2 linked regions of the Ovis aries genome follow. The protein of the gene in region 1 binds, or shares a complex with, the protein of each later gene. Links are inferred from orthologs where the notes say so. Each region holds a gene or a part of one and is shown on either strand. Other genes may lie near its edges. The genes, in order: KAT6B and BRPF3.

The links.
Region 2: KAT6B (region 1) and BRPF3 share a complex: the UniProt entries of both Homo sapiens proteins name them as parts of the MOZ/MORF complex. The link is inferred for Ovis aries from reciprocal best matches to the Homo sapiens genes KAT6B and BRPF3.

Annotation. Positions count from the first base shown.
Region 1 is NC_056078.1:30,027,172-30,030,728, forward strand, and holds the end of KAT6B (histone acetyltransferase KAT6B), read left to right. Parts: coding exon 1-1,202; 3' UTR 1,203-2,814; downstream 2,815-3,557. UniProt on the Homo sapiens protein: Histone acetyltransferase which may be involved in both positive and negative regulation of transcription. Required for RUNX2-dependent transcriptional activation. May be involved in cerebral cortex development.
Region 2 is NC_056073.1:10,232,330-10,236,149, forward strand, and holds part of BRPF3 (bromodomain and PHD finger-containing protein 3), read left to right. Parts: intron 1-594; exon of another isoform or gene 595-615; 5' UTR 616-620; coding exon 621-2,071; intron 2,072-3,820. UniProt on the Homo sapiens protein: Scaffold subunit of various histone acetyltransferase (HAT) complexes, such as the MOZ/MORF and HBO1 complexes, which have a histone H3 acetyltransferase activity.

The sequences.
Region 1 (3,557 bases):
AGAGCACAACCGAGAACTACGAAAACCCCAGCAGCTATGATTCTACTATGGGCGGCAGCATTTGTGGAAATGGCTCTTCACAGAACAGCTGCTCCTACAGCAACCTCACCTCCAGCAGTCTGACCCAGAGCAGCTGTGCTGTGACCCAGCAGATGTCCAACATCAGCGGGAGCTGCAGCATGCTGCAGCAGACCAGCATCAGCTCCCCCCCGACCTGCAGCGTCAAGTCTCCTCAAGGCTGTGTGGTGGAGAGGCCGCCAAGCAGCAGCCAGCAGCTGGCGCAGTGCAGCATGGCTGCGAACTTCACACCGCCCATGCAGCTGGCCGAGATCCCCGAGACTGGCAATGCCAACCTTGGCTTATATGAACGGATGGGTCAGAGTGATTTTGGGGCTGGGCATTACCCACAGCCGTCAGCCACCTTCAGCCTTGCCAAACTACAGCAGTTAACTAATACACTTATTGATCATTCATTGCCTTACAGCCATTCCGCTGCTGTAACTTCCTATGCAAACAGTGCCTCTTTGTCCACACCATTAAGTAACACAGGGCTTGTTCAGCTTTCTCAGTCTCCACACTCCGTCCCTGGGGGACCCCAAGCACAAGCTACCATGACCCCACCCCCCAACCTGACTCCTCCTCCAATGAATCTGCCACCACCTCTGTTGCAACGGAACATGGCTGCGTCAAATATTGGCATCTCCCACAGCCAAAGACTGCAAACCCAGATTGCCAGCAAGGGCCACGTCTCCATGAGAACCAAATCGGCATCTCTGTCACCAGCCGCTGCCACCCATCAGTCGCAAATCTATGGGCGCTCCCAGACTGTAGCCATGCAGGGTCCTGCACGGACTTTAACGATGCAGAGGGGCATGAATATGAGTGTGAACCTGATGCCATCCCCAGCCTACAATGTCAACTCTGTGAACATGAACATGAACACTCTCAATGCCATGAACGGGTACAGCATGTCCCAGCCGATGATGAATAGTGGCTACCACAGCAACCATGGCTACATGAATCAGACGCCCCAGTACCCTATGCAGATGCAGATGGGCATGATGGGGACCCAGCCATACGCCCAGCAGCCAATGCAGACCCCGCCCCACAGTAACATGATGTACACGGCCCCCGGACACCATGGCTACATGAACACAGGCATGTCCAAACAGTCTCTCAATGGGTCCTACATGAGACGGTAGGCAACAGGGGCAGTCACAGAACCCCTGGGCATCTCTCTCGGATTGATCTGCACAAATACCTTCTAAGAGTACGATTTCAAAACCAGCAATTGGTGTGAATGCAAAAACATTTGTTGGCACCATTTATTATTAAAAAAAAAAAAAAAAAGCTGTATGCAGCAGAAAGCCTTATAAAGTTGTTTTTCTTTTTATCTTTTTTTTTTCCTTTTTCCTTTTTGGTACCTTTGTTTCTGTTACTTTTTTATATGAAATTCTCTGCAAAGGAAGGCCTCTCTTTGGACTACATATGGAGGCAGCCACTCGCTGTGACTGCTTCCATTAAATAATGTGGATATCAAGCCCCACCCCACCCCAAATTCTCTGTTTTAATACTGAACCTAGAGCTTTTTTTTTTCTTCCCTGTCCACTCCATGTAAATGCCTTTGCCATTTTCAGTTATTGTATATTTTGTTTGAGGTGACACTTCAGCATGCCGCTAATGTCTTTGTTAGTGACAGTGCATTTTGTAGTACTGTACAAGTGTTGTGCTAACAGTAAGCCATTTCTTAAGTTTTTTGCCTTGATTAGGGTGCCCTAACTTGAGGGTTTAAAAAAAAAAACTATATTTTTGTTAATTATAAAACTGTAAAGAGCTATAAAAGCTATTCCCATTTGGTTAGTCAAAAGGGTTTTATTGCTAAATGTTTGGTGTAAAGTTGAGACCCTTTTCCATTTTGGTGACAGATTTCTTTGGGGAAAAAAAGGCAGCTTTCTGTTTTATAAATGCAGACTTCTGTTTATTGAATGAAGCATATCTCAGTGTTTATCTGTCAGGTTTTGAAACATTTCATATATGTCCAAATACTTGGCAGGATTTAAAAAAATAGTGAATTTGGTGTAAAGTTGCTATTTTATGGAAATGCCTCTAACTTTACATTTTCATTCCATCTGTAGATTTTTCTATCTTTATAAAATATTGGAGTTATTTTTTAAGGAAAAATAGAGAAGTAGCTTGTGAATAGCTCAAACTAAGCTTACCAATCGCATGTAAAAAAAGCAAAAAAAAGTTATTTGTGTCTGTTTATATTGCTTCCTTTTTTGTAGCCTTTGTACCTGTACAGGGTGACTGTAAGGGCCAAGCAGGAGAGGCGTAATCCTTGTATAAAATAGGAGCCAGCGACACTCTTGTATTTATCTGTTCTCTTTTTAGTCAGTCACTTCAAAAAAAAAAAAAAACAAAAACAAACAAAAAAAGCTGTACATTTTAACATAAAATAAATTATGATGAGCCATTTTTAGCCTCTTGTGTCCTGTCATATTATGATTGATAGAGAATGACCAACTGAACTGTATATCATGTCACACCTCAGATCACATTCACATTTCGGGAAAATAAATTATTTAGTGTAAATCGGAGTTAAGAGATTTTCTGATTTGTTTTGACTTTGTGGGAGGGGTTGGCAATAAATAAGAGTAATATCTAATAAAACCATCACATATACCAAATACCTATTTAATAAATTAATTTATAATGGATTTTAATGCTTTTCATGAAAGTTTATTTTATGCTAGTGCATACCTTCTGTATGCCAATCATTGTCTTTAAAATAAAGTGAATTTGTTTTTTTCTTTTTGACTTTGATCTTCATTTGCAAAGGGATCCTGCCCAGATATCCAGCTGCCTCGTTTGTACAGTCTGTATAAAATCCCCTCAGGGCCTAGTCCATTGGTAGCAAACTTCATTTTTATAAACAGTAATACCAGGGGAAAAAAAAAAAAGCACCCAATTTGGACTTGAATGTTTGAAATATCATTTTCTTGAATAAGCATGCACGTTTTGCTCTGTCATGAATGAGTGATTGGATGTTATTTTTAGAGTCTAAAGTTTAGGGGGGGAAAAGTCATTGTTCACAAACATTATGGCATTCAGAGAAAGCCCTGTCTGACTGTTAAAACATTTGATGATTAAGTGACAAGCCTAGAAACGAACGCTTGACGGCACCCGCGTGGAAAGGACAGCGCACACAGCCCGGGGTCACGGGTCCCGATAGAGGGCTTTGCCTCGTGCACTCACTCACCCTTAATATTTTTCTCCCACAGTTATGAAGCAGTCTGGGCTTGGTGTCAAGATTTTATCTTTTGGTTCCTCCTCCCCCAAAACTGTATAGCAAGTGGGGGAACATCTGTAGTAGCTGGAGGGAGGGCTTCCAAGAAGACACTTCTGCAAAGGCTGTTGTCACCAAGGGGAGAAGAGAACGTTTAAGGTGCTTTTCTGGTAGGAAAGGAAACTTCTCCTCCTTCAGAGCAGGAATTGATGGTGTGCTGTTGTTGGAATCAGCTGCTGGCATCGGTTCTAGAGCTGCCGAGGATCTTAGC
Region 2 (3,820 bases), on another chromosome or scaffold:
CTTACATTCTAGTGCTGTACTGTGCTAAGTCACTTCAGTTGTGTCTGGCTCTTTGCGACCCAATGGGCTGTACCCTGTCAGGCTCCTCTGTCCACAGGATTCTCCAGCCAAGAATACTGGAGTGGGTTGCCATGTCCTTTAGGGGATCCCAGCCCAAGGATTGAACCTGCATCTCTTCTATCTTACATCTCCTGCATTGACAGGCAGGTTCTTTACCACCAGTTCCACCTGGAAAGCCCACATTCTAGTGGAAGGAAGAAAATATACATGGCAAATAAGTAAATTAAATAGCACAGCAAAAATTGGTGAGTGTAAGTAACAGTGAAAAACAAAGCAGGATGAAAGATGACTGATGAGGGAAAGAGATTTGCAGTTTTGGGTAGAATGGTCAGAGAGGGACTGACTGAGAAGCACTGTTTATGGAAAGGCTTGGAAGAGGTGAAGGAGCAAGCCATTATAAATGATGCCTGAAGGGTAGGGTGCTCAGGCTGAGGAAATAGCCAGTTTACCAGTGGCCACCTGATCAGAAGGAAAGGTGAATGAGTGCATGCGTGCCTAACCATCCAGCTCAGTCTCCTGGCCTTCTCTCCTTAGGTCTGTCTCATTGGTTCCCAGGTGCCATGAGGAAGCCTCGCCGGAAGTCGCGGCCGAATGCCGAGGGCCGGCGCTCCCCATCCCCCTATAGTCTGAAGTGCTCACCCACTCGGGAGACCCTGACGTATGCCCAGGCCCAGCGGATTGTGGAGGTGGACATCGATGGACGCCTGCATCGTATTAGCATCTATGATCCGCTCAAGATCATCACAGAGGATGAGTTGACTGCCCAGGATATCACCGAATGCAATAGTAACAAGGAAAACAGTGAGCAGCCTCAGTTCCCTGGCAAGTCCAAAAAACCCTCATCCAAGGGCAAAAAGAAGGAGTCCTGCTCCAAGCATGCATCTGGCTCTTCCTTCCACCTCCCGCAACCCAGCTTCCGCATGGTGGACTCAGGCAGTCAGCCAGAAGCACCCCCGCTGCCTGCTGCTTACTACCGCTACATTGAAAAGTCACCTGAAGATCTGGATGCAGAAGTCGAGTATGACATGGATGAGGAGGACCTCGCTTGGCTGGACTTGGTAAACGAGAAGCGGCGAGCAGATGGGTACAGTTTGGTGTCGGCAGACACCTTTGAGCTGCTGGTGGACCGGCTTGAGAAGGAATCGTACCTGGAAAGTCGCAGTAGTGGGGCCCAACAGTCACTCATTGATGAAGATGCTTTCTGCTGTGTGTGCCTGGATGATGAATGCCACAACAGCAACGTCATTCTCTTCTGTGACATCTGCAACCTGGCTGTCCACCAGGAGTGCTATGGTGTCCCCTACATCCCTGAGGGCCAGTGGCTATGCCGCTGCTGCCTACAGTCTCCCTCCCGGCCTGTGGATTGCGTCCTCTGCCCCAACAAGGGTGGCGCCTTCAAACAGACCAGTGATGGGCACTGGGCCCATGTGGTGTGTGCCATCTGGATCCCTGAAGTCTGCTTTGCTAACACCGTGTTCCTGGAGCCCATTGAGGGCATCGACAACATCCCACCTGCCCGCTGGAAACTAACCTGCTATATCTGCAAGCAGAAGGGGCTAGGTGCAGCCATCCAGTGCCATAAGGTGAACTGCTACACGGCCTTCCACGTGACGTGTGCACAGAGGGCCGGGCTCTTCATGAAGATTGAGCCTATGCGTGAGACCAGCCTCAATGGCACCATCTTCACAGTGCGCAAGACTGCCTACTGTGAGGCCCACTCACCGCCAGGTGCTGCCACTGCTAGGAGGAAGGGCGACTCTCCTGGAAGCCTGAGTGAGGCAGGGGACGAGGAAGGGCTGAAGGAGGCCTGTGAGGAGGAGGAAGAAAAGGAAGAGGTAGAAGAGGAGGAGGAAGGTGAAGGGCAGGGTGGGGTAGGTGGCCCCCTCAAGGGAGTGTCCAAGAAGAACAAGATGGCTTTGAAGCAAAGGATCAAGAAGGAGCCAGAGGAAGTGGGTCGAGACACGACCTCCACTGTCCCCATGGTCACTGTCCCACGGATACCCTCTTACAGGTGAGCCTGCCCAGGATGTCTCCCTGGGGACACATGGTTTCTTCTTGGGCTGGTGTTGGCCCTGAGCCAGACCTCCTTCCCTAATGTTGGTGAATTCCTGTTCTCTTCTGTGCTCTCAGATTTAGATTTCTCCTTTGGACCCTGGGCTCGCCCAGTCTGGTTTGTGGTTTTGATTGTGCCCTTCAAAGCAATGTATTTCCTTTGGTTCAAGGTGAGACACACACTTAAGTTGCTTAGAAACCCAGGCGACGGGATGTCTAAGGTAATATTTCAACAGGGCACCAGTGGCATTTTCGATAGGAGGTAATTCATTATTAGGACCATCCCATACATTTCTTGATGTTTAGCATCCCTGGTCTGTGTGAGTGCCATTCACATCTCCTCCCTAATTGCCTCATCTTTGTGACAACCTCAGATGCTCCCTACATACGTTTCTAGTAACCTTATGGGGATTGAACTACTTCCAATTGAGAACCTCTGTTTCAAAGGGTCAGTATGGGTATCTGCTGTCCAGAAAGCTCCATCCTGGGAATGATGGGGACTTTGCATAAGAGGGTTATTGTGTGGGAAAGATATGTTGTGTCTCCTCCTAAGAAACTTTTAGATGTAGAGGAAAGATCAGTTCTGCAGTATAACTAAGAAACTTTGGCTCCCACCAAGCCTGTTTTAAATAATCAGAGAGGTATCTGGAGCTGTTGGAGGGATGGGAGCTTGGCAGAGAAGCAAGAGACAGGGAAGATTTTCCATTGGAGGCTCATCTCATTGTTGATGTTCATTAAAAAGACTGCAGTGTTAGAGCAGGAAGGAGTCTCGGAGATTATTCATCTAACATAGTCCTTGCACCTTCTCCCACACCCCCAGATGAAGAAACTGCGGCCACGGGAGGTAAAGTTGTTCACTCCTTTATTCATTCAACGAGATGTTTATTGAGCACTTACTATATGCCAAGTCCTGTTCTAAGGGCTGGAAGGAACCAAGGGAAAGTGACAGACCCTGGACCACCAGCTGGGGCTCATGATGCCTTTAGGTTCTGTTCCTGTTGTCTGTCTGTCTCTCTTTGTGTAAGAGACAGGGAGAAAGGAGTACTGGTGGGCAGAGGAAAGTGAGTTGTTTGCGGGAAGCAGGCAGTCAGACTTGTCCATCTGGAAAGAAGACAAGAAGACAGAAGATCCAGAGGGAGAGGCTCTTGTGAACCATGATTGGAGTTAGATTTAGTCAATAGGAAATGGGCCCTCTAGTCACAGAGCTGTTCTAGGCTCCCCGCTTCTGTTGGATGAGTGGGTCCATGCTTAGTCCCCTGGTGGTTATGCCCTGGGGCTAGACTTTTTGGTTGTCAGGTCTGCTCTTGTAGGTGGTTTCTTGCAGGGTCCAGCAGGGTCCTGCTGACTAAGAACCAGAGAGACCTGCATTTGAACCTTGAACTTCTGTCACTACCAGTGTGATCTTTGGCAAGTCGCTTAACTTCTATTCAGCCTTAGTGTATTTATTTGTAAATGAGCCTACCTTAAAGGGTTATTGGGAGAAATCAGTAAGATAGTATAAGTAAAGCACTCAGCACAGTGCCTGGCAAATAGTAAGCGCTCAATAAATGGTGGCTGCTGCTGCTACTGCTATTTTATTATTATTCTTTTCCCTGCCTGCACAAATGCTATTGGGACCTTCCATGGCCAAGAGGTTGTAGAGGGAGGGGGATGCCTGCATCTGGGCAGGTGTGCTTGGCATGGGTGTTGGTGGGGGAATCTGTTCTTT